2 linked regions of the Daphnia pulex genome follow. The protein of the gene in region 2 purifies or fractionates together with the protein of the main gene of each other region. This does not show direct contact. Links are inferred from orthologs where the notes say so. Each region holds a gene or a part of one and is shown on either strand. Other genes may lie near its edges. The genes, in order: target of rapamycin complex subunit lst8-like and regulatory-associated protein of mTOR-like.

Region 1 (15,274 bases), on a different chromosome or scaffold from region 2:
CCCTCCCATTCTTCTGTGTTTTCAGCGGCAACAACTTGCTTGAATGATTTATGTAAAGGCAGGCCGCGCGCCCCCATGGTTACCATTGTGTAACACTCTATTAAGCGGTGACGGACGCCATAGAGAGATTTAGCTGCTACTGTTAAAGACAATATAAATCGCTGCGCATAACACTGTCCCGATTCATTTCGGACGACTTACACGTATGCCTCGGCGGAGAGCATGAAATTCATTACCCAAATGGACATTTTCTCATTCCAACTTTTGTTGTTTTATTTTTTCCCTATGAAAAATTAGGTGCGTCTATCGGTTCCAGGGAGAGGAGACGATGCGAGTGGCCGTCGAAGTGACCCGCCTTCGCCTCGGGGGACGACCTGGTAGTCAGTGCCACAGTCGCCTGGATCCGCTGACCCACCAGCGCCGCTGTCACATTTTACGGTCGGATTACTCGCCGGCAGCGGCTGGCGGCAATGGATCGACCACTACCACCTCAACGGCTTTCCTCCAGTTGAGGGAACGGCCATGGGCAGGGCAGACTGCCGGACACAACGTCCTTCTCCAGAGGGACTGTCTCTGCGACACTGCCGGCCTCCAGCTGCCGTTCCGTTACGTCTCGACGGGCAGCGCTGTCGAAGTCGTCTTCCAAGTGACGGGAATGACTCACGCCGACGACTATCACGATTTTTTTTTCGAAATCTCTTACGAATTCCTCGGGGGAAGTCCAGGAACGAGTAGCGGTATGAAATGCGCCAGCCAATCAGAATTGAAGCCGTTGCAGGGCCCAGGAGGAATCATCAAACTGGACGGGCTGCGGGGCCTGACGCTGGGCCGACAAAATTCCGTCTGCAATCGACAGAGTTGGTTCCTTTTGCCGAGCCGAGCCGACCGTTTCTTTTTCCTATCCGCCAACGGATTCCTCATGAATAATCAATCGAATGGAGAAGAAGAATCCGGCGCTGCTATCGATTGCCCCACCAAGAATCGAATTGTCGTTTATTCGGACAGACAGGCTGACGGTCGCCCGCTTGCCGTCATTTGCCCGTCTCTGAACCCGGAAGGAGGAGTCAAGATTTTCAGTTCAACGTTCAACGCCGAGGACGCGGTAAAGTCCCTGGACCTGGAGAATGAGGACGAATGGCGCAACCAATCGTCGCAGGACGTGAGCGGAGGCGTCGTGATTGAATTCATCGCCATTCAAAGTGGCTCGTACACGATGAAATGGCTGGAACTGACACCGCAATCCGTCCTCAACCCCTTCAACAACAAATCAATGCTGACTGGAGTGGTGATACCTCATCTCGGCTCCGTTTCATCACCTCCGTCGCAGCAACTCTATCCGTGGTTCTTTTGCTCCACCTGGTGCCCGGAACTCAAGGCCTGCATTGACTCTCAATTGTGGTGCGACGGCGTCTACGATTGCCCTTCGGGGGTCGACGAATCAGACCAGCAGTGCTTGCACTCGACCCCGACAACATCCAACAACGACAACAATCAACCACCCGGCACCCGAATCTCGTCGTGGAGCGTCCCCAAAGTCTACTGGTATTTGATTGCAGCCGGAAGTACGTTGCTGTCCCTCTTTGTCGTCGTTTCGTCCGTCATGGTCTGTCGCAACGGTCAGCATCCGCTCAAACAGCCCGGTTATAACGATCAGAACAACGCAACCGATCCTGCTGGGCTCGTTTCCAGTCCGTCGCAGTCGTCGCCAGGTGCCGCCGGAGGATCTTTCCGGCCGCTGCCAGTAGCGGCTCTCAACGACTACGTCTACCAACAACCGGACAACGGGATCATCGGCAGCAATCGGTCGGTCGTTGTCGGCGGTCCTAACATCAAGATAGTCGGCGGCGGCGGATCCAAATCGGATGGAATAAACAAAGTTCCGTCCTTGTACCATTACGATAAGAAAATGGCCGTCTCTTGACAATCGGCCAGCACTTTGGAGAGCGACGATCTGGATCTGGAGACGACCGTTTGAGAATACTAGTGCGGAAGCGAAACATTTTATTGCCAAAAATGAAATGCAGTCTACAGGAAATCAAATCTCATTGCATGACAAATCACAAAGTGGCGGGAAAAAATGTTTGAATGTACTCGCCACCACCGGGCTCAATGTTGAAATAGGATGCCTGCTGCTCGGCCAGCCACAGATCGTAGCCGGTGTCGATATCAATGCTGCACTCTGCGCTCATCTCTACGAAGGAAATCCTTGCAACAGGAACAAAATAACAAAGTTTTGTTGGTTTGTTTTCTATGAAATATTTTAAAAAAAATTTGTACATATTTGATCTCTGTGTTATCTAATTTTAAGGGCCATTCCACTGCATCGTATTACGTGTACATGATCATTCAAGAGTTTCTAATGAGCATTTCCAATAAGAAAAAGATGAATAATAATAATAATAAAAATGGGAATTTTCTATGCAGGTAATCGTGTCTTTCTCAAAAATCAATCGGTTCACTTATTTTGAAAAGGAGGAGAAATTAAGAAACCGGGGAGAAGATAGTAACGGGTGGCACTTACTTTCCACCCTGAATGAGTCCTTGTCGCAAAAGTTGAACGGAGCTCAAGTAAAACGCGCCGTTCTCCACCAAGTCGCCGTTCCAGTCCTGCCTCTTGGGTCGACAATGAGGATCAAAGTTGACCGCCCGGATCTCTGCCGCATCCACCGTCGCTCCTTATCCCAAAAAGTGGAGGCAGAAAAAGAAAACGGGAGGAAGAGGAAAAGTAGTACCACATCATCAAAAGAAGTGGAAAGAGAAAGTTGGAGACACGGGAGAAAAGTTTAAAAAAGAAGAAGAAGAAGAGAGGCTGAAAGATGTCGAGCGCATCAAGAGCTGGCCGTATTTATATAGAGACGAAAGAGGAAGAAGGACCCGGAGATGAAAGGATCTACAAATAAAAGAGACATGTTGAGGGAGGATATTCAGCTACAGCGGAGGTATTAGGCCGGAATAGGTTAGACAGAGCATCAGTAGAATGCCCATGTCTAGGAACAGGAAGGACCCGGACTGGACTGTGTGCTGTGGATGGACTCGGCAACGGCAACGTGCGCATCAGTAATTCAGGACATGGGGAAACTGCTGCAGCAATTGGGCACAACTGTTGAAAGAAAAAGTCAAGAAAATCAACCGAAGGACTCACTGCTGCCGCTGCCGCTGCTGCTGCTTTCGATTTTTGGTTCTGCAAGTTGCATCCAGCGCAGCGAGTGAGAGCGCGTGACGGAGAAGACCGAGTCACAGCATCCGGCCGTCATTTTAGCGATGGCTTCGTTCAAATGCGCAACGCGGACGAAAGGCGACGTGCACTGAATCAATGCCACCACGTCGACTTCTGTGTGTATGTGGGCACCGAAAAAAAAAGGCCGGGGGAGAGAGAGAAAAGAAGAGCATCAGCGGCACAGCAAATCATTGTTGCGAGGTTGATGATGAACGACAACGACGACGACGACGACGATCGTTACACTGTGCACGCCTTTTTTGTTGGACGAGACCACTGATGTACCCATCGTTATTATTACAGTAAATATCATACCCGGATGACTGGCCAAGAACTCGTTGATGGCCTCCAGTGAAGTGGCTCCATCTGACGACGTCTCGGCTGACCGGCGATGGACCTGGGCTCCGTTTTCAAGGGCCAATTGAAGAATGTCTGGGTGGTCGGACGACACCCAAATGGAAGTCAAACCTGCTGGGCAGAACATTCAAATCTCCGAGTCTGCAAGTTGAATCGATCCATTGGCAACGCGCCTTACATCACAACTTGGGGGCGTTCATCACTCGACTCACAAGGGACCAGCGAGGAAAAAGTTTCTAAATTCTTTTGGGATCTACACACATATTGAAGGCGCTGCGTGCAATGCGCCGGGTGAGAAGAGAGAAAAAAAAAATTGCGCTGGCGTTCCAATCCTCCTGGTAACGCACACAAAACTACTACTACCACCACCATCCAATCATATATATATATTTATTGTAAAAAGGAAGAAGAAAAGAAAAGGTTAGGAGCTATATTATTATTATACAGGAGCGGCAGGGCGTAGTATTGGAGCCAAGCACGCTCCGTTGCCTTTTCTCTCCCCCCCACGACGACGAAGACGAAAAACGCTCCTATATTCCAGTCTGACTACCACCAACAGCCTCAGTTGGCGCAGAATTCGGATCGTCTCCTTCTGAATGACTGCATTCGGCATCCCTTTTAGACACGCACAAATGAGCATACAGCTAGACGTCTATCTCGCTTTCCTTGTACACACACACACACATGATGAAAAAACCTTCCTACTCAAATATCCAATGAAAAAATGCCAATCCAAATTCAATTGAAGCGCTGCGAGAAGGAGAAAGAAACACCTATCTCATTCTTGCACGTATGTCGGCCGGGAAGGAGAATGTTACCCTCAACATTGGAAGAGAAAATTGTGGGGTTGCGGCCATACAAACTAAAATCGAATTACATAGTAGCGACAGTAGTAATTTACCTTTGCATTGTGACATGGTCCTGAGCGCCCAGAGAAGAAGCGGCGTGCCTTTGAGTAAGGCCAAGTTCTTGAGCGGGATTCCTTTGCTGCCTCCCCGTGCAAGGATCAATCCGGCGACGTGCATCGTCATCAGCAGTTGGTCTCGACACTGCAACTAAAGCAATCCCTCTGTTATGACGGACAATAATTCAGGATTTCTTTCTCGGTTCTACTTCTCAGCCGGCCTGGATCAGCAGTTAAAACTCCACTGGGTCTCACGTAAGCGTAGCCAACAAAAGTAAATAACGTCTTGTTTCTTTTGAGGAAGCTGTGTGTGCTCTCCCCAACCACCGCCTCGGAAGAGAAGAGCCAGCAACCCGGCCGCCGATCGATAGGATCCTGAAATCAAATCTGTTAGCTGCTATTATTGGTCGCTAGATGCCAGCACGCATGTGGAGTCTTGGCACTTTTTACGGAATCAAACATCAGAGGTCGACATGAGATTAATGCGACGACCAACCCGGTCCACCGCATTGGTGGTTTAAGTGATGGGACATTCAAGTGATGGAAAACCAACTGATAAAAAAAGGAGCGGAAGAAAGATGTTTGGAAAAAACAATGGCCGGCACGGGAGCGATCAAGTCCATCCTCGGTGCCCTGAATTCGGTAATCTCATCAAGAATCGAGGCTAGTGTCCAACTAAGGAGATTAATACTGATAGATGAGCCCCACGTTCGTTGTACGCGAGACTATTCCCTTCTCCTTTCTGCTGGACTGTAGAAATGGATGACTTGACATGAATAGAGGAGGATAGGGCGCTTGGTTGCTTCCATTCGGCTGAAATTCGTCACGCCATCCCAAACCCATTACGCCCGACTGATTGAATGTTAATCCAATTTGACGTTGACGTTTGTCTTGAGATTGAGGGGGCCAAAGCCAATACGACACAAGATAGGTGAGTTGATTCCCGCTCTACCAAATGAATCAACCTCTACAAGTGAGGTGGGACGGTACCATTAAAAATTCAGGCGTTCCTAAGTGTATCAAAGCCAATGAAAAACATTTTATACATTTGAGAAAAATAGAAGAAAAAAAAAAACCAAAAAAAAGGGAAAATTATGGTAAAATGTTCAATTTACGGTGTCCCGTCTTGAAATGCCAATGAGGTAAGAGCTTTTGAATGACCAATGTATTCTTTAGCTATCTCGCTCGTTTCTATACTCCACAGCCTTGCTGTGTTGTCGGACGAAGCTGGATAAACGAAATGTTTCATCAAGACAGGCAGACAAAACCAGGATGAAGAATAGAAGAGTCAAGTACCTGTTATTGCGTATTGTGAATCGGCAGAGAAGGCAATGTCCCACACCCAGCGCTGATTTTCAGTTTGCAGTGTGGAATGAAGGGAAAAATCGGAAGTCTTCCATAACTTGGCCGTTTGATCGGCTGACGTCGTGGCCAAGTACCTGCGAGATCAATTGTAAGATTGAAAAAGAAATTCAAAGAAAACGAGGCGAACGTATACTTTGCGTCAGGGCTGAATTTGCATTTGAGACCGTAACGTTTGTGAGCTAACAAACGGCTTTTCGGTCGCAACTGTGTTGGTGTCGAACCTTCTTCGCCGTCCGGCAGTTTAGTCCCAGGGATGAGGCTCCAAACATAACAGTTTCCCTTTATTTGTGTAGAGAGAGAAAAGGAAAAAAAACATCTCAAGACTTGGTTGGGAAACTAAGAATAAACATCAATAATGGGCACCTTGTTATTAATGGCTGCCATGAAGTTTGCAGAAGAATCAATGGAAATGTCTTGAATGGAGGCATCTTGTTCTGGAATCTGTAAGTATTTGATTGATATTATTATGGAAATGGAAATACTTGAGGTATCAATACTAACCAGTTGTTCATTGTGATCTGTTCTCAGGTCCCTATATAAGCAATCCATGTGTTACAATCATTCCCAACAGAATAAGAAAGGTACGTAAAATCTCACCAGATGTGGATGACACCACTTTGGTCTCCTACCAATAGTTCACCTTGATTAGGATGCAAACAAACACAATTTACAGGGGCAGTGACTTGAAATATTCTGGAACATTGCAAATTTCTTGTCCTAGAATGACACAAATGAGAACTCAATCAAACTATGTTTTTTCCAATAATACGAGGAAACATGATACCTAAGATCCCAAACTCTTGCAGAACAGTCTTCTCCTCCAGTGTACATCCAGTGTCCATCTTCGTGAAATCCAACAGCAGTCACATTTCGTGAAATACCTTCATAATTGACTATGGGATTGGGGTTAGAAGAGTTGATTTCATACATGCGAATATGTTGGTATCCTGCAGCTGCCAATAGCTGGCTGTCGGGGGTGATATCGAGAGCATTCACTTGCGATTCGGGATGTGTTACCGTCCGGGTACACACTCCCGAGTGGGCTTGCCAGAATTTAATTGAGTGATCATAACCTCCTGTAGCTAATATAACTTGATCTCCATTATTATTACCCATAAGGTTTTATTATATTGTTTGACGTTTAAGTCAAACCAACAAAATAAATTTCCTTATTGTTTTTCTTCTGAAATCACTCTACTAGCAGACGACGATCAGAAACTCAAACTACGAGCCCAAGGCCGCATTGCCAAATTACGAAAGGTATGAAATTAAAAAAAAAGAAGAGAAATTTTTAAGTTTTAAATCACATTTTATTGAACCGACAAGATTTCAACAATCATTTCTTCTTGTACAGACACAGGTATTTCTTCTGAATGTAGCAACATTATTTCAGGTGTAGGCGATACGGACTCAGTGAAGTGGGGTAAGGCAGGACATTCATTTTCCACATTTGTTTGTTCCATGAAATTTGATTCGGCGGAGACGTTTTGTGGATCCGGTTGCGTTGATTTATTAGAATCACCGAGATCTGTTTTTTTCATGATTCTTAAGAGTGTATTCTGACTCGGTAGGGGAAGAATGCCTTCGGATCTTAAATGCTTGTACGCCGAAGAACTTTTGTTTCTGATTCGTAAACATTCTTTGAGAAATTCGGGATCGTAACGCATTGCGCTGAATCGATCGTTTCTTCCAGGATTCACTGTTGCTTTGGCCATCATTGTTTTAACAACTAGCTGTTCCTAAAAGTGAGTAATTCTTGTAAATTAGCTGAAAAGAGAAATTTGACATATCAATTAATCATTACTTTGGGCTTTAAAAGCTTTAATTTCACATCAAAGCTATTCCAGTAAAGCTTCTTCCTTTCATTGCGCAAACCTTCTATGGTACCTGAAAGAGCCTGAAATTCAGAAAGAACTATTAAAGGATTATTCCGAGAAAAAATCCAACAATAATTTACCTCAATTTTAGAATTTGATCGTGTCAACCTTTGCTTGGTGGAACGCAACCTCGATTTATAATCTTCTTTCGAATTTTTCAATTTCTTGGTCTTCTGATTATTTGTACTTCTCTTCAAATAATTTTTAAAAACGCGGCATTTTGAACAGAGAGCGGAAGCAGGAGGGTTTGCAATTCCCATGCACATTTTTGAGCGCCACAAATTGCCTTCCTTGATACCAGCACATTTACCCGTCACTTCGGTATCTGCTAGCGAATCATCCACAATTCCTTGACATGTTCTTCTGTAATTGAAATCTTCAAGAATATTTGCTAAATCAGCTTTACTTCGAAACTCAAATTGCATATCTGGAGGCGTGATGGGTTTTCCATTCAGATACAACGCAACTTTGGTCATGGTGACAATTTTAACAGATTTTATAGTCATCACACCGTCATGGGAAAAAATATGACAAGAACAAACTAAATTGTTGTTTCGTTCGTTGAAGGACCAAGTCCATTCAGCTGTAGGAGTAACGACACCATTAATGAAGTTGTGGTAACCCGCCATACCCAAATGGAAACTTTCCTCCTCATTCACAGTAGGGGTCGAAGAAGAACGAATAACGTAATTGTGATCCGATTCATTTGGGCCAGCATTTTCTTGTGCTTCCTGAGATGTAGCTGATTCGAAATTGCGCAATGTCGATGACGCAGCAGCACTCTCTTCTAGAGAAGTTGGTGTTCGTGGAGGTACCAGTACGTAGCTGTGGTCAAAACTGCAAGACGCAGAAGAACTAACATCCATACGATCATTTTGCACCGTAGGTGTGACCAAATTGCTCAGAGTACCATTTACATTTAGCCCACCGTCTACTGTTAGTGTGGGTTTATTTGGTACAGCAATATTATCATGAACGACGATGTAGTGAGTTATAGGCCCATCAACTGGAAGAGGAATAGTATGGCTTGGGCCTGAAAAATTGATGCTTGATTCCGGAACAGTCTTAGTTTGAATAGGTAAACCACTTCCATCTTTAGGTTTAGGTAACAATAAAGGTGGATCTGTGAGAAGTTACATAATGAAAAATGAAAAATGTATTTGATAATTGAAAAAGAATCAGATAACAAATAGCAATGCAAAGTTACCTTTTGCTATTGGCAAAGTTTTAGAACTACAGGAATTTTTTAGGGTGGTTTTTGATTTCTGTGATGTTGAGCTGGCCACTGTTGGTCTTGTTGATGAATGTCCTGATAAACAAAAAAATAAAATACAATCAAAATTGAAATCACAAGTAAAACCTAAAACGTTTAACTATATCTAAATGTGTAAAACTGTATCTAAACTCTTCTCTATATTGCTGTAAAAAAACAGACCTAAAAAATGTTTTGGGAGAGCACCAGGCTTTAGCATCCATCTAGAATAAGGGTAAAATTTGTCCTGAATTGTTCTTCCTTTTTCTATATCGTCGTCGTCAAAATGCCGACTACAAATCTTCGAAGAAGTGGTTAAGCCTCCCCTTGGAATTATGTCTTGCCAAATTTTTAATGAAGCTTTTGGCACACCAAAAACTCCGACATGAGCATTTTCTTTATCCCTTTTCCCGTAGCAACCACTAATAAAACACCGTTTGTGTTCTTTTTTCCCCATGTTAACAAAACAATGTTACACAATTTAAAACAATTCACTAGTAGGTTGTTGAACGGCAATGTAACTAATAAACTTCGGGACTCCCGACACCGACAGACACAGGTGAGACGCCCCGAGACTAGCAGACTACATTTTTCTTAAATAACAAATACAATATACTATACACGAGTGTTCAACGCCAACTTCTGTACAGAAAATTACCCAATTATTTTATAATATTACCAATATAATACTTGGGATTTGAGCCTTCTTTTAATCTCCACCGGATGAAAGGATGAAACACACCTAGAATATTGTACCCTTTGACAATGTCAGAATCGTCAAAATGGCGATAGCACAGCTTCGATGTTTTATGTAATTTTACGTTTGGCATTAGGTCTTGCCATGCATTGAAACTATTGCTTGGCACTCCAAATAAAGTATAATTCTCTCTATTCTCGGCGTTTCCTGAATATCTATTAATGCAATTGGGAACTATACAATTTCGTGACGATGGCTTAGCTTTCGCCATTTTTTGTATTAAGTTGAGACTATCGCCGCTAGTAGCGGGAGATATACATCGCATAATATTTTTGCATATGTTATAATAAATATATATATATCCGTCTCCGAGAGAATATTCCGCCATAAGAGACCGGTAAACATAGTTAATGGCTCTGGATAATTGGATATACCGTACAAGACCATGTTATGAAATTATTTCACGCGAAATAGATTTAAAAAAATTAAATATTTAGGGTAGTGTCACTAATTCTGGACACTTTTGTGGCTATGTCATATTTGCGTGCTTGAGATAGGCCAAACGTCTTCCTAAAGTTGGACAACCGCCAAAAATCTTGGACAGTTTGTAAAAATTCTGGACAACCACCAGCGCCATCTATGAGCAGAAACCACAACTTAATAAAACGGGTCTTCTTTGAATGATTCGACTGTGATTGTGATAAAATAAACGCATAAAGTGGCACCATAATAATAACGTTTTCATCAATTCAGTTTTAATTTATACCTCTCTCAGAGTGATCTAAGACCATTTTCATAGTCTATGCTGAAAATATTGGTCAGCATTATGGTTTAAAGTTACCCTTACCATGAAAAATTTTCGACTCACATAGCTAAAGTGGTTAAAGGCTTTCCTGAAAAGTTAAGGACAACCAAGAGTTCCCAGGTTCGAATCCAGAATTGAATAAAAATATTTTTTCATGAAATTCATTTGAAAATCGCCTCAGGCTGTCCAGAATTTATAACACGCTAGAGATGGCATGGAAATTTATTATTTTGGGAACTTTCATGATTCTTCAAACTATTTCAATATTTGCTTTGCCCCGAGATTACCCATGTAGCTAAACTGGTTGAGGGCCTGCCTGAGAGGTTATGGATAACTAAAGTTCCTAGGTTCGGATCCAGGATTCAGCAAAAACATTTTTTCATGAAATTCATTTGGAAATCGCCTTAGGCTGTCCAGAATTTATAACACGCTAGAGATGGCTTGGTAATTTTTTCCTTTTTTATCTTTGATCATTCTTCAAATTATTACAACATTTGTCATTCTTTATAACGTGTCATGTAGCTAGAATGGTTAAGTGCTGTCCTGCCAGTAACTTGATTTTATCATCAGTATTTAGGTTCGAATCCAGATTCCGTCAAAACTCTTTTTCATGAAATAAATTTGGAAATCGCCCCAGGCTGTCCAGAATTTATAACACGCTAGAGATGGCTTAGAAAATTATTATTTTTAAAACTTTCATAATTTTTCAAACCATATTAACATCTTTTTCTCTCAATAACAGCCGCTATAGCTCTATTGGTAGAGTGCATATTTTCCAACGGTCGTCATTATCGGCGCCGTTGTTCAAATCCTACTTCAATAGAAATCAATTTCATGAAAGTAATTTTGAATTCTGGGCGTTCTCCGCTTCATAATATATTTCATGAAAAATATTTTTCGGAATGGGATTTGAACCATGGCCTTAATCGTAATCACAATGAGGAAGTAAGCACTTTACCGACATAGCTATATAGGTTATCGGAAAATGAAATTGATGTTAATCTGATTTTTAAATTAGTAGAAGTTTTTAAAATAATAAAATTCTAAGCCATCTCTAGCGTGTTATAAATTCTGGACAGCCTGGGGCGATTTCCAAATTTATTTCATGAAAAAGAGTTTTAACGGAATCTGGATTCGAACATACATACTGATGATAAAACCAATTTATCGGCAGGACGGCACTTTACCATATTAGCTACATGACTTCTTTAATTGAATGACAAATGTTGTAATAATTTGAAGAATGATCAAAGATAAAAAAAGGAAAAAATAACCAAGCCATCTCTAACGTGTTATAAATTCTGGACAGCCCTAGGCAATGCCCAAATACTTTATAAAAAGAAAATTCTTGGAGCAAAAAGGATTTGAACCTGTGCCACGAGAAAAGGCCGATTAACAGGTGGACGCTATACCGATACGGCTACGAATGATAATTTAGTGCAGAATAGATATCTATATATTTTGGTTAATGATCTAAGCTTAAAAAAGAATATATTTCCACGCTATCCCTAGCGTGTTATAAATTCTGGACACCCTTAGGCAATTTCCAAATTATTTTCATGAAAAAATTTTTGTTGAGATTTGGATTTGAACCTTGAGACACCCAAAATCCAAAGTATTACCAAAGAAAGCACCTTACCACACAACCGTGGAAGCTTGCTAAATTATGAAATTGTTTAAATGCAATCGCAAAATAAAGCAATTATTTTTTTTATTATAGTCTATTTTATTGAATGTATAGATAAGACACGAATGAGATCAGGATAAACATAATTGCTTTCAGATGTCAAGAAGCTGAAATTAAAAAGAACGCTTGGCCAGAAATGTGGCGTACACCTCAACTAGCGACACCCTGTGGCTTCTACAGTTGTCCAGATTTAGAAAGGGGGGGTTGTCCAGCTTTTGTGTAATGGGATTTATCGCCAGCAAGCTTCTACTTAGATTTCTTCCATGAATTTGCAGTTTTGGCGCAGTTTGAAGTGCTGAAATGTGAAGAATGAACAAAATTCTTTCGTTTGAGCCCTAAAACAGCAAGAAATATCATCTAGAAATGTTATTCCAGCTTGATTTATGAGGCCAAGAAACTTCATATTTTCTAAGTTCTTTTCAGAACTTTTATTTTAATAATTTCCTGAGATTTCAGGCATTTAGAGTAAATATTTTGCAAACCCAGATAGAATGGCAAAAATTCTTCATAATGGCATAGTTTTCGCGATATTTGCTCATCATATAGGACTTTTAAACCAAAATTTCTTCGGTTGTCCAAAATTTGTAGCGTTCAGGCCTGTCCAGATTTTGAGACATTACCCTATCACTAAGATTATGTTTATGATGTGCAATCAATCTTCAGTGTTTTAAAGGATTGAACACACCTAAAATTTTATACCTTTTGAGATTGCTGGAATCGTCAAACCAGAGTCGCACGTAACATCTGTAAGAACTTTCCTTTTTTTGGTTGGCTTGATTGACGGCAAGTCTTCAAACGAAAATGCAATTCAGTTGTCGTTAAGTCATGTTAAAAATAGAATAATTACCGAGGAAATGCTTTGGGTCAGCCCCAGAATTTAATCTCCAAACGGATAAAGGATAGAAGTCTCCAAGAAGGTAAATCCCCTTTTTAATATCACATTCATCGAAGTGTCGACTGCATATTCGAGATTTACTAGAGAATTTTTCGTTTGATACCAACTCTTTCCATCTCAAAAAACAATTTTTTGGCACACGAAAAAGGGCTGTTTTTTCTGCAGGATCCTTTAAACAATTTTTGATAATGCAGTTCTTGTTATTAAGCTCAGACATTTTCCATTTTTATTCTTTTCTAATGACGAGACGCCATCAAGGAACAATTTTTAATGGCGAAAATAGTATGATCGAAGTTATTAGTTTACTCACTAGATGGATAACAACAGTAGCAAAAAGTGAAGAGGCGGAATAGAATTTGCTGCTTATTTTGCTCTAAAAAGTAAAAAGTCAAGTGTTTAACTTAATTATTGTTGTCATTTCCTGAATATCTATTAATGCAATTGGGGACTACACAAATTTTTCCGTAACGAATTATCAGCCTTCCTGCCTTCGCATTTCAAAATTGCCATTAGATGGCTGCTCTCCGACTTGTGAATGCCGCGAGCGCTGCGAGTACCGAGAAGAAAAGTCTGGCGTTGCTGTATGAAGTTGAAGAAGTGTCTCAAAATTTCTTGATAAGCCATTTTGAAAAGTGATTCCAACGAGAAACGTTCTTCCGCTGTCTACAATTTATTGTGAGGTATTCTCGGTTTATAGTATTGAAAGAATATTGTACTTAATTCAAGTTGTTGATTTTCAGATCTAATTTAAATGAACGCCATCCTTCTAGTACAAATTGTTTGCAACTAATGTTGATGACAAGATGCAGGATACCATATTGGTTAAGGCATGACATTGAAGAGTGAGTTCTATGTCTTTAATTTTGTTTGATATTAGGCATGAGAAAGTGATTAAAACCATGAAGCAAAATGACCTGGTGTGACCCTCAATAGTATCTGAGATCCAAGATGGTATCTATTTATTCTTGCTGCAAAGTTTGAGAATATTCAGATCTGTTGGTCTTGGTACTTTTGCTGTGACACCCTGCTGTGATGACATAATCTTTGATCTTATCTGATTCATATTTTTAAATTATTCATGTCCGTTTATTGCCTTTGTAATTGAGAGCTAATTATTTCTCTTTTGTAATAAAGGATATCGTCAGTTTTTTCACCATTGCATTCATCACATCACAGAAGGAATGAAGGGTGAGTAAATGATTATGTAAGGCATGAATAAAAATACTTTTAAATTGTGATGAATTAAAAGGCCGAGTTAGAATCATATCTGAGATTTTCTCAACGATGTTGTAGTGTTGAGTTTTCTTAATTCCTCTGCTTTATTGTGACGGATTTTTCGAAATGGTCATGAAAAAATGTCCGAGAGCGTGACTGAATTCAAGATTTGTGTTGCATATTCCTTCGATCGTACATTTTTACTGAAACGTGTTTTCTTTTGAACAGGACGGTGTTGCTACTGATATGGGATGTTGAGTCAAGACTGTGCAGCAATCCAGTAACACCATCAGACATGGCTACAAGAAGTTGGAAATGTGAGTAATATTTGGTGTGTGCAAACGAAATGTGAATATTTCTGTGATGATAATTGTACAGTGAAGAAACATTCAAATGTTTCTATTGAAAGTCAACCAAAAGGATACTGATAACAATTGTTGTAAAAATTTGGTCTTGAACCTGATGTCATCATTGTTAATTATTAATTCAATGCTTTCTGTAGGTACTTGCTCGTTGTGATCGTCCACAATTCGTTACCAAGGGCATGTGATTACCACGACGTACTTGAAGGTGGGTCGCTGAGTTCACATAATCTAATCTATTATAAACTAGTGATGAGAAAAATAGCGGCGAGGGTTCAATGACTAAGCCTTGCCAAAAGGATACTGATTGGAAGTTGGTTGAATTAATGTAAGAATTTTGGGTTGATTATTAAATACTAATTGTTAATACAGGTGGCTAACTTGGAACATGATGGTGTCTTGGTGGAGTATTGCTAGGTGCTGACCTTTCAACACCGATTGATGTGAGTATCATGGGCGTTTTATTTCTTCTTTGAAGTAACTGATGAAAGTTTTGTATCCATATTGATGGATGATGGTATTACAAGCTCAACAGGCCTGATGCTCAATAATTAATTTGGTTTGAAAGGTGATTTTCAAGGTTACTCATTTTTCATGAATATTTTGGGTTCGGTATAGGAGTATTGCTGTTCGAGAAGTTA
Region 2 (15,839 bases):
TTCGCTTTCACTTTCTGAAGGACTGTGCAATTTCATTTAAAAGTTAAAATTGTGCCTTCGTCACAAAGAAAACAAAGAATATTCTCTACACTTTCCCATAACTGGAAGAAATTCACCACACAAAAAAAGAAAAATTTATAATATAGGGGGTCCATATTTTGCTTAGTGCGGTCATGTAAATGTTTCGTTATTAATTAATGAAGAATAACGCATATTATGCATAGTACGTTTTTTTATATGTATATGTGTACAATCAGCAACGCGACGGATATCAAGCTCCCTAACAATAAAAACTGTTATTTTTGTACCTTTTTTTATTACATATATTTTTTTTTAAAACAGTAATTCGGCTATTCCACTCATAAAACATTTTTAGCTTCCGGCTCCTTTGCAACATAGCAACAAAAATTCCACAGTCCTTGAGGGAAAAAAATGCCTTATCATAGTTAACTGTTATAATTATAAATTTAAAAAGAAAACTCAACACTGGTGAATTGCACAATTGCTAGTGGTTTTCAAGGACTTCTTTCAATATGGCTAGAGATTTTCTTGTTTACTTTCGTCACGTCTTATTAAATTAACCTTACCGAATATTCACCAACATTTTCTTTGGATTCAGTAACATGTTGGCATATGAGTAGTTGCTCATTAATTGAATTGAAAACAATTGGGGCGTCTAATGGTTTTACACGCAATTCCTACAACTCGCAATATTTTCGTTACATAGAAATGAAACCAATTTAGTCTATAGGTTGAACCACTTGTCAGTGTGTCTCTATCAATACGTTGAAGGGGAGGAGCTAAGAAGTACTAATGCTCATGAAACCTTCTCGAAAGAGAACAAGAATTAAGTTACATCCTACAGTTAAAAAAAAATATGACGAAACGCGAAGTGAAAAAACACTCTCTATCTTGATTGCGTGTATTTTGCTCACAAAAAGTAAAAGGCGGCCGTAGTATTGCGTGGCTTTCAGTTGCGCACATCACACGGCAGACAACAGAGTGGGTTTGCAAGGTCTTCTGTGTAGTTATTACGTTAGTTTCCCTAGCAAAAAAATATTTCCATCTTTGTTTCAGCGGTGTTGGCTACGGTGAAAAATAAAAATGGCATCCGAGAGCATCATCGCCGATTTCTTCCAGGATCGATCGGTTTTCATTACTGGTTCCACTGGGTTTGTTGGTAAAGTGTTGGTTGAAAAGTTGCTCCGTTCTTGTCCAAAAATTAAACGCCTCTACCTGCTCATGAGAACTTCTCCCAACAAAGATATCGCAACCCGTCGCAATGAATTAATCAACAATCAAGTAATGTTTGATTTATTTATGTTCTCCTTTTTGGGTTATCTATTCTTATGAAAAGATATTTTTAGGTGTTTAGTTGGATTGACCAGCCAAACGCGCTAGACAAAATCTTTGCCGTTGCTGGAGACATGACCTTGCCAGGACTGGGCATTTCTCCAGCCGACATGCAATTGCTCATTGAAGACGTTTCAATCGTCATCAATTCAGCTGCCAGTGTAAGATTCGATGATGAATTGAAAGATGCGCTGCAAACGAATGTGAAAGGACCGAGGCAGCTGTTGGCCATCTGCCAGAAAATGACGAAGCTAGAAGTTTGTTTCTTTTTCTCTTCTCTCTCGACCACAAATTCATTCGCTCTAATTATTCATTTGAAAAATTTTCAAAAAAGGCTTTCGTCCATGTATCGACCGCTTTCAATAATCTGGATCGGGATGTTGTCGGCGAGGTGAATCTTAGTTTTATTTCATGCATGTTTAATTCGATGTATTTATTATTATTTTGTATCAGATGATTTATCCATCGCACATTGATCCCATCAAACTCATAAACTTTTTAGAAAGTATAGATGGTGACTTTACTCGGAGCATAACAAAACAGTAAGAATTAAAACCTCCAAGTACATAGAGTCTAATAGTTTAATACCACATACAAACGCTTAATTAGATTGCTCGGAAAATCCAACCCAAACACATACACATTTTCTAAATCCTTGGCCGAACAAATTCTAGAAAGAGAAAAGCACAACGTTCCATTAGCAATCGTCCGTCCTTCCATCGTTACAGGTGAATTAATTTATTCATATTTTGTTGTTATGAATATTGAGAAATATTTGTGTCGTCCTATATAGCTGCCGCCAAAGAACCTACACCTGGATGGATCGATTCCCTCTACGGACCGACTGGTGAGAAAAATGACAGAAACTATTGAACTGCTCCATTTTTTTTTTACTGCCGACGTGCTTTGATATATTAAAGATTGCCAAACGCGTTTCTTTTTATTGCTTTGACAGGCCTAATTGCAGGTGGAGCAAAGGGTTTCCTCAGGCTTTTCAAGTGTGAAGCCAGTTGTGTCATCGATCTAATTCCTGTTGACTATGCTGTCAACCTTATAATAGCCGTCGCCTGGCATCAAGCTACGACAAAGTAACGACAATTTTTTTTATTTATTTTATAACTGTTGCACTACTCCGTGACTCTGTCATAAACACGGAATGAGTATTACCTATCTGTTATTTACTTCTCCAAATGTCATCGACCCTTGAATACGTCTCCTGTTACAGACCTTCACAACTCACTGTTTATACGTCTTCTACGAGCTATCACAATCCGATCACCATCCATCAAATGAGGTCGTTTTCAGAAGAAGCTGTCACTAAATATCCGCCGAAGGAGATTATGTGGTGCCCAAGCGGCGAATGCACCAACCGTGATTGGTATTTCAGAATCAATGTCTTTCTCACCCATTATCTACCAGCATATCTTCTGGACTTCACCAGCCAACTTTTTGGCAAACGAGCTAAAATGGTACCCAGAATATTAAAAATGCAATAAATATTTGTTTTCATAACAAAGATTAATTGAATATGAAACAGGTGAAATTGTATGAACGAGTTTTTAGGGCAATTTCAAACTTAGGCTTTTTTAATAGCCACCAATGGCAGTTTGTTAGTGAAAATTCGCTGACGATCCAGTCCAAAATGTCGACAGCCGATCGAAAAATCTTTGATTTTGATGTCCGTCAACTCAATTGGCGTAGCTATTTTGAAACTTACGTCCAAGGGATCCGGCTGTTTATTCTCAAAGACGACCCTAGCACTCTTCCGCAAGCAAGAAAAACCCTCGTCAGGTAATATTTTACATTTGATTCCAAACTTTAAAAAACATTAGAGTTAATTTTTGCTTCAAACATATGCGCAGAATGTACGTCCTGAAAGTCTTTCTTCGCTCATTGATGTCGCTCTGTTTTGTTCTTTCCGTGGTCAACCGATTCAAAACCAGAAGTCTTTTCCAAAGCCCCTTTCCATCTTTATTGTAAAATTGGCAGCTGCAGTGATAAAGGTGCACGAATCTTCTCGTTCCCTCCGATAGAAGTAATATATAGCACCAAGACTTTATATTATATTGAGATAAAAGATACAAAAATATTGCGGTGAAATCATGTAAAATATAATCAATACACAGTTTGGGATTTTTTTTAAAATGTGAATTCTATAATGTTTCCAGGTTCATTAAAAGGTATTGTAAATTTCATAAACTCTTTCCGTTTGGAGTTGTTAGTAGATGGTCACGGAACGTGAGTTTTATAATGTTTGATAAGGTCTCAGCAGAGAATCTTCTTGGGCTCTCTCCGCGTCTCCGTAATCGGTCCCTATAATTGGGATCCCACGAAGTTCTTCGCAGTAGTTATAGACAACCAACCAAAAGTATAGGCCAAAACCTAGTGGTTACATTTAAAAAATAATGCGTAAGTGCTTATCTATTATCATCCGCTTGAAGAAAAAAGTTATGACAAAACGGCTATCACCTATCCGTATTGGTGTAGTGATGGCAACAGCTAAGTCTCCGTTCGTAACAGACGAAATAAAAACAACGACATCAATTGTTAGAGAAACCATAAAAACTACGAGCCACGGCCTTGCCAGATTTGGGCGTTGCGTATAGGCCGCCATGACCAAAAGAAACGAAACCATCAAATCACACATAGAGGCGATAAGGAATACTATCAGTACCGCTAAAGTTGCACTGTATTTTCCTGCAGAATTCAATATTGAACATTAGTTTACGTCTTTTCAAGTTCTTCAAGACAATCTACCGTCATGGGGACCGTTGTATAGGGCATCGAAGGAGGCACATGCGATACTCAGTAAAATCACTAAAAGAAGCTTTACTACCTAAGGATAATATGTACATAATCATAAGCATCAAAAGAGTTTTACATGTAACAAGGTGTACCAAACGTACCACAGAAAAGATGCTGATAATTTTAGTCCCCGTTTGAAGAGAACAGCCACACCAGCTCTCAGTAAACCTGGGAATCCTCATGGTGAGTTTGACAACTTAATCCCGTTTTCAATACGAGGTTAACAAAGGCTAATGCGACGTTGGTTTTCACTGCGTTCAAACACATAAACGATTGATCTGGCCACCAGCTGATCAGTACAACGGAAAAGCTCCGTTCCGATAACCTTATCGCAACAACTGATAAACGGGTAGAAAGATCAAAGCCGAAGCATCACATTTTCTTTTTTACTTAAGTCGAACAATGTCGTCTAAACATTCTGACGACGGAAATTCATCGACAAAGTTTTTGGTATTCAATTACTTTGTATTACCCAATACTCACATGGATTGAGAACGTCGACCCAAACAGCATGGGCATGTAAACTTATCTTGTGTAACGTGAGCATAGCTCGATATAATAACATGAAAATCATACCCAATGAATAAACTGATAAGAAGTCAGCAGGAAGCTTCACACACAAAAAAAAATACATTTAAGATACACAATTAATTTAATTCGGTGCATGAATTAATATAGAGGATGCTTCATTTTGAATCTTTCGCTCACAATAGTGATTGTTTGTAACTGGGTATTTAACATATGCGAGGTCTCGCGGCTCGAATTGAAAAATCTCCAACAGAAAAAAAGAAAACGACGAATCTTGACGGTGAGTCAACAAAAGCAAACCATTCTACTTCTTTGACTTATCTGAAGAAAAAACAGAAATCATCGAGTCCATGCCTCCAGCAGCGAGGCACACCCGATGTGGATGAAAGGTTAAACAGGAGACAGCTGCAATTTTGGAGCCCAAAAGACCACCGCCGTCGTGATACGCGATAGTAGAACGCACTTCTCCTTCTTGGTCGTGTACGGTAATGTACTGCCCGACAATTCCACTAATAATGAAAACGATGCATGTTAGTGAAAATAAGCATTTTTCCACACAAAAGCTGTTTTACCAAGCAAATAAGTTAGCCTTGGGATGGACTGCCATGGCAGTCATTCCTTGCGAATTAGGCGCTGTGGCTACGGTGAGAACCGAGTTGGGATTTCTAGGATCCATGAACTTGATGTCACCCGCCAGACTTGAGAAAAAAAAACAACTATTAGTTATCAAACGTAATTTCATACAATGTAACGATTAATACGATGAGATGATTGTTACCTGCCACTCACTAAGTTGGCACCTCCTTCAACCGAAATCCATTCGCAATCTATGACCCAAGCAGCATGCTCCCTCCAAGTCATAACTCTAGATTTTGCAGCGCTGCATCGCTGATCAAAAAGGCGGACTGATCCGTCTCCACATGACGCTACAAAGAGCGATCGATCTGAAGACAAAATTATCAATTTAATTTGCGCAAACGATTATATAAATTTCTTAAACTTGGTCAAAACCTCGCGGGTTATGATGAACGGAGGTCACACAATTTTCTGAACCAGTAGGAAAGTCGCTGACTTTCAATTCACGCTCTACGTCCCAAATGCGGATCAAGCGAACATCGCCTGTTGCTAGCAATTGTAAAGAATCCTGATTCCAATCCAAAACCAGACCGGAACATCGAGTCGATGGTGCCATTTCAGCTATACAGTTCCATGCTGAAACAAGAGAAACTCCAGTGTGATCTTCGACAACAGCATTTGCTGATCGAGATCCTGTTCGAATAAAATCCCGCCAGATTCTGCACGACCCATCATCTGCACCAATAAGAAGTAACGCATCATCATGTCCGTTCACAAAATCCATTGATGTAATTCGAGCAGCCCTGGGTTGTTGTTGATTGTTAAAATGGACAAGACGGACGCTTCTTTCCCAGTCCCATACTCTGCATTATAGAACAATTTTCGTCGAGCACAGAAAAACTTTTATCACCATAAAAGAATTGTTTCTTACGTGCATCCTTCTTTATCTGCTACAGCAAGCCAAGGATCGTAGGGATGAAAGCGGATAACTGAAGGTACCAGTGGATTCCGATTGCAGAAAACCTCTTTCATTTTTGCTTTATTTGGTCTAAATAAATAAACATAGAATTTTAAATTAAAAAACCAGGTAAAAACCCTGAAATTGAGTTCACCTTTGACATTCTTCTTTAGCTTCATGGCGAACGGAAGCATTTCTTGTATATCGCCATTCGCGCGTGTAGTACATTTCAGTGTCTCGTTCACGTGTTCTCCCGCATATCTAGTTGAGAACAAAAAAATATATCAATAATAATTCTAAAAAATCATAGAATCCATGTTGAGGTTGTACTTCGAATTCAATAGTTAATTCTTTTTCGTGATTGGGTTTCATATTGATTTGAAAATCTTCATTAGACGCAGCTGGTTCAGCAAAATGACGAGCGCACCATTCGACAAATCCGGTTACTACTAAAGGATCCTTCAACTCTTTGGAACTTTCACCTTCTTCCACAATCTAGCAACGAATAAATAATAATTGAGTAGTAGTAAGAAACATTCGGTTGAGGAAGCCAGTTCAAAATGTTATTACTGTAGATGGTATGCTTCGTTTCCTGATTCTGTTGAATGAGGGAGTAGTGCGTTGGACAAGGGCCCGTGGAGGAGAGTCCCCACTGAAACAAGTCTCAAATATATTCGTTATTTGTACGAGGTATTGTAATAGTATACAGCATTACATGTAGAGGGATTTATCCATAGAATCGTTACTCGAATTGGAATACGTATATTGACGACTAACGTCTGATTCCCGTGAAGCTATCACTTCTTTAGCCTGAAATATGCATGTTATGTTTAAGTGGCTGACCAACTGCGTAATTTTTAAAAAGGAAATACCTTATTCCGCACATAATCCGTTAATTTCTTTGCCATCGTAGAGACTTCCAGGTAAGGATCTTTTTCCATGCTTGAAAGTCCGTGCCAAAGTTTGACGTAAATAGTGTTAAAAGCAAGACTAGGCAAAGTGGAACTCGCTGCAAAAATAAAATTTAGAAATATTTTATTTTAATCAATTTTTGGCTTACTATTAAAATCTTACTAAGGCTACTGAGAGAGGAAATAGAAACCGCTCGTCTAATATGATCTGGATGCCCGGAGTTTGTGGAATGGGTGAAACCACTATCTGATAGTTCCGGACTTGTGCCTAGGTTCATCGCATTGGATGTGGAGGCCCGCGAACGACGCGTGGGCCTCTGTAGACTACCAGAAGAAGTTAACGTTACTTCCACGTTTGGAGAGAGACTGTTCGAGTCTTTATTCTTTTCCTCTTCTATCTGTTGAACAGCCATTTGAATGAACGTGGACTCGAATATCAAAACAATCCACTGGAGAGCGCCAACGATCTTTAGAAAGAAAATTAAATTTAACGAATATTCAATTCCCAAAGCGAAAAGAAGCTACTATACCTCTTTGCGAACCAAAGGACTAGCTTCCGAGTTCACAACATTCACCAGTTGTAAGGCCACTGCGTGATCAATTTTGTTGGCAAGTTCATTTCGTTCCGTCTTTCCTCCACTATGGATAAACGTTCCTAGGGCATAAGCAGTGGCCGCTCGAACCTTAACATACATAAACAAATAAGACTGAAATTCGACAGATTTAATGTCATATAATCAACAATGTTGTAAATACCTCAGGAACAGAATCTCGCAACAACGGAAATAGTTTCTCATGAGCGGAGTCTCGAATTGCCGACCAACGAGCAGCTATAGCATTGTGCCAAGCTAAGCCAATTCCAATGACGATCCATTGTCTAAGTAATTTATCCTTTTCATAGACCATTTCCAGGGCATTCGAGATAAAAGCTACTTGAGAAACAGCATCCTGCCCGATAGGATGATTCCAGACCACTCTAGAAATCACAAAGGCGGCCAGCGTGCGCTGATCATCCGGCACGGAATTATCTTGAAGAACAGAGAGGAAATATTTGTGTCCTCCATCACGGACTAAATCCGCTTGACAGGTAACATCAACAGCAAGAATTTTCGTCCAGATAAATAGAAGTAATGGGCGCAGTTCCCGCGCAGAACTTTGAAGTAACTAAAACGAAGATTTCAGTTATCGAGTAGAACATATTAAAATAGAAAAGCAAACCTTTAAAACATATGGAAAAATGCCGACCGACAGCGCCAAATTGACAGCCCAAGGGCCTAAATCTAAAAATCGCCCCAAGAGTTCAAGTGCTCTTAAACGATGAACTTGACTTAAAAGAACTTGCAGAACAATAGGTAGTTGTTCTGGAGGAGATCTCTTTTGTGACCCATGCGAAAGCCAAACTTGGAAAGCCGTCAACTGTTCCTCAAAAAAAGGGGAATTCTGGAAGGTTTCCTTGCCTTCTAAAATGCCTGGTAGCTGTGAGAGGCAAATGTCAAGAGCTAAATCCCAAGCAGACCACATTGGGTGCTAAAATCAAAGAATGCCGAAATTATAAGACATTTAAATAATGTGAAAAGGTAACTTTAAATCCTAATAACCTGAGACGTAGGAGGCAACTTTGGCCAAGAGACTGGCGTGCAGTCATACGACTTAAGTATCCTTTCTGCTAAAAGGAAATTCCGGAAAAGACTAGCCACAAGAAGATCTTGTCTGAAAAGGCGCTGGAACACGTCCCGTGGAAGTGAATTCCAAGCAATCGTATCAGTTATAGCGGTAAAAATCCAATTTAATTCACCCAGCATAGTTCTGCGATCGTTAAGCTGCCCGGGGATTTTGTCGACTGATTCAAGTGTCATTCGGGGCACCAAACGGGAAGTATTTTGTAAAACAAACCATCGAAGTGCAATCTTTTGATATAGGGGAAAAAATGGAATAGTACATTAAATTTCCAATTTATCTTAAAACATATTCTAGTTACCTTAATAGGAGTTGTGAGACATGCAGTAAATATATCAGCTGGCAGTTCGGAATTCATAGGAAGAATCTGATTAGTTGCGCATGCAGCCAACTGAATGCACTGTTTGAAATTCGGAGGTGGTGTCATCTGAGAAGGCAATGTGTTTCTTGATTGAGCCATCAGTTGTTCGTACTCCCTCTGATGCTGATCCGCGAACTGTTGAAACGCGTCCACAATCATGCCAGCGTTTGAACAGTCAAATACGTAAATTGACGGAGACCACATCCAAGTTTGTAGGTCGTAAATCGAGAGCGGTATATATTGCGTATAACTGCGATTGAAGACCCAAATCTCTCCATTGGCAGTTGGTTTCGGAACGCCATGCCCATTGTAGTGAAACAGCACTCTTTCGTCTTTAGCATTTCTTCGGAGAGTAGATGTTACTTTTTTAATCTGACATTTATGAATTACAACATTAATCACAATTATTCTTTTCTAAACAAACAAGAATTTTTCGGTTGTACCTCATCAGCGGTAGGATCTAGAGTTTGCTTGTAGCGAGCACGGGGCTGCCACCTCTCATATTGCTTCTGAAGGTTGATGCCAATTGCTTCTAATGCTTTTTGTGGACTCATAGACAAAGGATCTACACATTGAGGAAAATTGCATTAAAAAAGCAACAACACTACACACACAACCCTTTACAAATCACATACCTATCCAGCATTCTAGCCTTGCACAGGGCTGAGTTTTAACTACATCTGGAGGATCTACTCCAACATTAAGGCATAATATCAATGCCACACTTACTGTTTTCATCTTGAATTTAAAAAAAATAAAAGAAATCCTATTTTATTAAGCCGTACATGCACAATTGTGTGGAGAAAAAATTACAAAATGCTATTTAAATTTTGATTTTGGACGGGAAAGGTAACTTAATAAATGCATGGGTTACCCGATCCTTTAATCTCCAGTTTTGAGCACAATCCTCTAATCCTTCAATTTTATCTGTGTGCCTTTCTGAAGAAAATGCTAATCCAATCGCCCAATCTTCATCTTCTTCATCTTGGCCCTGTTCATCGGGAGAAGGTGAACGTGATGGAGCACGCTGGAAAACCGAGAGCTCCCCCGACATGGTCATCTATTCAACGATTTATCAGATTTCTTATCCAAAAATTTAGATAAATCTGAAAAACCACAAAACAAAACGAACTCTTGATGAGCTACACATTCACCCGACTGGAAGTGACAATATATTCATATTATTACGACACGAATTCAAATTGTTTCTCTTGTTGTGTGAGTGCAGACGGATTTTGGTTTATTTTTTACGACGAAAAAATGAATCCAACACAACTACACAAGGTTGCCATTTTCTATTCGACATAAAATGGAAGCTATCTCATCATTCTCATGCCACAGGCACGCCACAGGCCCACAGAATTCGTAATCGTATACACCCCAATTTTTTTCCTTATTATAAACTTATATATAATTCATGTGTCTGTTTTTTTTAGTATGTTTACTCTCTGGCCCACCATTCCCCTTAAATGTCACCAAAAACAAAATTTACGGAAAAAGTCTGTCTGGTACTCTGGTTACTAAGGAGGTTACGCCTCTCTTAACAGATGTCTCTTCAATAGCGCCGGCTGCGGCGCCAAAACAGACCGAATTTCCATGAAAATTCTTGGTCATGAAGGACGCTTTTGAAAGCCAAAAGCCATTGAAAATTACATGAATAATTGTGTATTCGCTTTCTAATTGTCACATTGAAGTAAAAAGAAATGAACTGGAGTGGTGGATCCAAACACCGTTTCCGGCTAAATACTGAGATTCGTAAAACTGCCTTTCAACAACAGAGTCGCATAATTCTCGTTGACCTCGTGAAGCATGACGATCTTGAACAAACCGGTCAGATTTCCCCAATCAATGGACAGAAGTTTACAATGATTCCTCCTAAAGTAACAGCCAATTTAATGACACTAAAGATGGGAGTATTTATTAAATATGTATTTTGCAGGTAGAGGCAGTTTCAAATGATGATATCTCAATACGTCATTTTGGGATTGGAACTCCATTTCACAACATTCCTTGTGGATCTTCATCAGGTCTACATCAATACATTACTCGATTAAAAAATTTCAAATAATTGTGTTACTCTATATAGATACTGAAGGATCTGGCAATGATGACATATCAATAAGTACAAAATATAGTCCTGTTTCATTAGACCAGGAAAGTACAGCTGAGCATCACATAACAAGCACATCTGAAGAGGAACAAACAAAAGTTCCATTAAGTCACAAGGTTAATGAACTTTATGAGGATTCAAACCCTGGTGAGGTTCTTTTACTACAAGAAAGTTCACCGTCAGGATGTAGTTCATTTCTCAGCAACTCAAATGTTGAATGTCCTTCTCCACCTTATCTCAACCCAAATCCTTACTCTTCAACACCAAATTTGAGTTTTCTAACTCCCGTCATACATCGCGAGAACACTGTAAGACATTCAAGCAAAGATCGACGTTTTTGTCAACAAAATTGGGATAATTCCAACCTTCACAATTTACCGTACTTGACACCCCTTACCGACGAACCAGTCATAATACAAGAAAACTCAATTTTTAAGAATCGAACTCAAACAGATAATCGAGAAGCTCCTTCAACAAAAAATCGCTCAATGTTTGTTCCAGTAGACGTCACTCCTGCTCAACGAAAACAAGTTCATTTCTATACTTCTGACCAAGAAAGTAGTACAGCTGAGCATAGAGTAAAGAACTTTTCTGAAGAGAATCAAGCTAATGTCTCGACTCCAGCCAGAGAGCAGTATGACGATTCTAGCGTGTATGCACCACGCAATAAAGATACCCTTGTCACCTCCATTGCCGGTTGTTCAACTCCCAGACCTTATTATGTAAACCAACATTTTCACTACCCAACACCAACTTTGGGCTCTACTACTACAGCAACACACCAGGAGAACCTCGTCGGATTTTCAACAAAAGATCAACGCATCCCTGGAATGAAAGATTCTCCCCTTCAGTATTTGCCGTGCTCCACATCGATTAACGACACAAAAACGACAATACCTTCTCAAACAACTCCCATTGGATCGAACGTTGATAATCATAATAATTCTGCTCAAGTAAACTGGTCGATGTTTCCGCCGTTAGTCGTCACTCCTGCTCAACAACGGCGCGTGCAATTTGCGTCATCCTCATCCGTTCCCCTTCAGAAAATGAAAGTTATTGTAAATAACACAGTTGTTCCTATGAAAGAGACTTCTAACTTGAATACTTCTATTCCTGGCACATCATTTCCAAATGGGTCGTCAATGGACTTCTCAAAATACGTGTCGCCCCCTAAGCAAGAACACGCTGTTGTGATCACAGAGGGAATTGTATCAGAGCAACACGAATATTGCAAAGAAGAAGCTATTAGTCTAGTCCAATCATCTAGCAAAATGGTCACAACCTATCCTGTTCATTCCCTCATTCATCCCCAGGACGGAACTACAAACGCCAATGAAAATAGTAATAACCAAGCTAATCCAAAGTTTACTACTCGAAAAAGAAAACAAAGCGTTGCTTCTTGGAAAACTTCAGTTCGCAAGAAATTTAACGGTAGATGCACTCATCATTGTCGTTGTCGTACCGTTATTCGAAAAGTCAAAATCCGTGACGCTGAAACTCAAACTTCTTAATTACTTCACTTGAAAGGCAGCGCTGTTTGTGTTTGTTTTAACATAAGTTACTTCCCCACGGTTTCTTCATTATTTTAGTTACGGTTTACTTCTTGATGTTTCAGTATTGTCCATGGTTAAAACTCGAGGAGAGTGAGAAACAAAATGTTTTTCTTACAATACAAGCAAATAATCAAAACACATATGGCTACGTAATACGTAATTCAATGTTATACATGACGGTATCAGCGTTTTTTCGTCTTACTTTTCTTCATCAACGAATTTGCAGTTTTAAATTCAACACCTAAAATAAAGATGTTTAATTTTCGGTTAACATAATTTTTGAAATGTGTGCTTACCAATCGAATTACAAATCCCTCTGGTTTGTTGATCCGTGTCTTCAGCCGTGTTGCCGGACAAAAACAGTACAATGGGCGAATTCTGGCTAGTTTTATAAACGTTTCTCTGGTTTGTATCCAGGTAACAGCAGCATTCCAGTATTTGGAACAATGTCCTTAAAGAAAACCAGAAGGTTAATCATTATCAATAGCACTTAGGAGTTAAGAAAGATGGCTCGTGTGCTCACCAGTTGGCTTTATCTTTTCGTTTCGGATAAGTCAATAATGGGATGACTTGGTGTTCGTTTTGACGCTGTGCTCTAATAAAGCGATTGCCGGTACGAAAGCAGGTTTCTAGCCACCGAATGCATTCCCGAACAGAAGAGCTTTCCCTCTGTATAACAAGAGAAAAAAAAATCATTAAATGCTGTAAGATCAACAATCAAGTAAATGAAAATACTTTGAGTTGATCAATTTCCGAGATGACAATATCAGGTACTACTACAATCAGCTTTTGGCTTTTGATCACTTGTTTTATGAGGTGAGTAAAATCTGAAAGAGCAGAGACGTCCGGTACCAAATAGACATAAGATAAAGTGGAAAGATCGAAGTTTGTCTTTTTTTTTCTTTTGAATTGAGGTGAGAGTCTCCGTTCAAGCTCTTGTACTTCTGACTTCAACCACAAGTGTGCCATGTTTCTCATCATGAGATCTGCTTTCATTCCCAGTTCCTGGGATTCATCTTTAGTTGCTTCGGATGGACACATGTAAATTCCGTTTTCCAGTCGGAAACTTTTTTCGTTGCCTTGACTTGCCAACCAATTGCCAAATTGGAGAATTCTTTCGATCCGAATAGAATTTAAAATTGAAATGTTGGATGGTGCAGGAACAGACTCAAAATCGATTTGAGCATGGAATAAGCTCATAGAATCCAGTCCATACAGCTTCCAATCTTCTTCTAAAGGAACTTTTTGGTACTGATCAACATCTTCTTTCTGACAGCGTTTAAACACGTTGAGGATGGTAGCTAGTGTTGCCCACATTTTTCGAATGGATTGATTTGATACTTGAACAACCTGAACATTGGCTTGTAACCAATCAGTCAAGAGTTTAAAAATCGGCAAAAGAGATACAGCTTCTGACGGGATTTCAATGAGCGGTTCAAGTTTAGCTTCAGCTGAATGAAAACCAGAATCGGATAAAACTTCTTCTTCTTCTTCAGAATCCTGCTCAGAGTTACTTTCTAAAAATATCTCTTCCTCTGAAAATTCTTGATCAGACGATCCAGATCCAATTTTTCTTCTTCTCAGTTTAGCGCGCTTAGTTTCTTCTTCCTCCTCGTCACTCAGTTCATCTTCATCAGCTTCTTCTTTACTCCCAGAGACGGGCTCTTTCTCTTTATCTGCATTATTTCCATTACGTTGGTCAGCATTCCCAGAGCTTAGATGGAAAATGTCTTGAAACTTGCTCAGAACGTGAGCGAAAAGTGAACAACAGAAGGCGATTGCAGCTGTTGGATTATGGTTTGATGAAGCGGGAGTTACAGTACACATCACCACGCAGGCAGCCAAATCCAAGAGTTGGTTACAACTCTCATTTTCGCTGCTACAGAGTCGTTTTTGAATTTCGCTTAAGGCCGCCTGACACAGCTTTTAAAAACCAATTAATTAATGCACAAACATTGAAACCAGAATTTTTGTTCAACTTACTTGGCTTACTTCAAAAGTATTTTCTTCTTTGCCTACAAAGACTAACTTTGGAAGTAATTGTGAAAAAGCGGAAATCAGTTTGTCTTCGTTCATGGCAAGACGTACTAATAAAGCCTTAAGATTAGGTTCAGCCCCAGGGAATATTTTTAAGGCTTTCATGCTTTAAAGAAAAACAAGTATTAACATTATACATACAGAAGCAACATAATAGTGTGCTATTGTACCTTCTTATATAGTAAAATATAGATTCACATCCTCTGGAAGGATCATGACTAGTCAAAGTCCCAAGTTGATTGTAAGGGAGACCAATACTAGGATTGACAAGAACTGCCTAAATAAATAAAAAGTTGACAGACATGAAAAACACATGTGATAATTAGTTTGTCTACCTGATGATAAAAGCGCTCTGCTGTAATTACACTGTTAGAAATTTCCAAATCATTTCTATAGCGGGACAAATCTCCTAACCTTTGAACAAAATTTTGATTAGCTTCTACAATCAAAGTATACGACAAAATTTTTTAACATACCAAACCAAAATCTTTTGGACTGATTCCATTAACTCTTCTTTGGACTCTTTATGTGTTTCACAATCAAGGATTTTAACTTCCAAGAGTGGTAAAACATGAAGTGTAAGTTTTGTGGCTGGGTCCACATTTTTTAGCTTTTGGCAAACATCTTGCATAAGCTCAGTAAACTTTACAATCCCCGATTCAATGTGATATCCAATAAAAAGTTTTTCCATTGAAGTAAGGGGTGACTTCTAGAATTTTTTTTTTTTTTTTAAATCTGTAATTGGCATTAAAAATATTTTGCATAGTTATTACCTTTCCATTAATTTTGGTAGAAGTTATCACATCGTAATAGCACTTCTTCCAGAGAAGTTCTTCAGCTCTACGTCGGCATTGGATTGGATCAGCTCCCATTGATTTCACACAGAGATAAGAAAGTTGGCTTCGAAGCTCAATGATATCTGGAGTAAATAGATCTCTGCATGCTCTAGCTTTGGCAACAGCTGAATCTA

The links.
Region 1: the proteins of regulatory-associated protein of mTOR-like (region 2) and target of rapamycin complex subunit lst8-like purify together in Homo sapiens (affinity purification with western blotting; 15 studies listed by BioGRID and IntAct, with this or other methods). This does not show direct contact. The link is inferred for Daphnia pulex from reciprocal best matches to the Homo sapiens genes RPTOR and MLST8.

Annotation. Positions count from the first base shown.
Region 1 is NC_060019.1:9,051,023-9,066,296, forward strand, and holds target of rapamycin complex subunit lst8-like, read right to left. Parts: upstream 7,072-15,274; 5' UTR 6,960-7,071; coding exon 6,628-6,959; intron 6,561-6,627; coding exon 6,441-6,560; intron 6,376-6,440; coding exon 6,345-6,375; intron 6,285-6,344; coding exon 6,207-6,284; intron 6,123-6,206; coding exon 5,977-6,122; intron 5,918-5,976; coding exon 5,775-5,917; intron 5,706-5,774; coding exon 5,590-5,705; 3' UTR 5,466-5,589; downstream 1-5,465. Other genes in the region: uncharacterized protein LOC124191396, read left to right, coding at 298-1,921; N-acylneuraminate cytidylyltransferase A-like, read right to left, coding at 2,058-2,205, 2,522-2,675, 3,143-3,331, 3,533-3,685, 4,476-4,605; uncharacterized protein LOC124191397, read right to left, coding at 7,154-7,582, 7,648-7,740, 7,801-8,843, 8,928-9,029, 9,652-10,057.
Region 2 is NC_060017.1:2,261,652-2,277,490, reverse strand, and holds regulatory-associated protein of mTOR-like, read right to left. Parts: upstream 10,469-15,839; 5' UTR 10,230-10,468; coding exon 10,044-10,229; intron 9,908-10,043; coding exon 9,805-9,907; intron 9,735-9,804; coding exon 9,613-9,734; intron 9,542-9,612; coding exon 9,110-9,541; intron 9,039-9,109; coding exon 8,730-9,038; intron 8,659-8,729; coding exon 8,350-8,658; intron 8,296-8,349; coding exon 7,888-8,295; intron 7,815-7,887; coding exon 7,662-7,814; intron 7,599-7,661; coding exon 7,295-7,598; intron 7,230-7,294; coding exon 7,093-7,229; intron 7,031-7,092; coding exon 6,936-7,030; intron 6,873-6,935; coding exon 6,791-6,872; intron 6,716-6,790; coding exon 6,551-6,715; intron 6,482-6,550; coding exon 6,375-6,481; intron 6,311-6,374; coding exon 6,194-6,310; intron 6,126-6,193; coding exon 5,698-6,125; intron 5,631-5,697; coding exon 5,465-5,630; intron 5,385-5,464; coding exon 5,259-5,384; intron 5,196-5,258; coding exon 4,991-5,195; 3' UTR 4,260-4,990; and 3 more. Other genes in the region: putative fatty acyl-CoA reductase CG5065, read left to right, coding at 1,105-1,302, 1,368-1,610, 1,688-1,744, 1,807-1,895, 1,963-2,081, 2,147-2,200, 2,309-2,441, 2,579-2,822 and 2 more; uncharacterized protein PB18E9.04c-like, read left to right, coding at 10,873-11,049, 11,109-11,196, 11,256-12,790; protein SMG5-like, read right to left, coding at 13,015-13,073, 13,129-13,283, 13,356-13,501, 13,568-14,755, 14,816-14,975, 15,040-15,146, 15,205-15,283, 15,346-15,578 and 1 more. UniProt on the Homo sapiens protein: Component of the mechanistic target of rapamycin complex 1 (mTORC1), an evolutionarily conserved central nutrient sensor that stimulates anabolic reactions and macromolecule biosynthesis to promote cellular biomass generation and growth.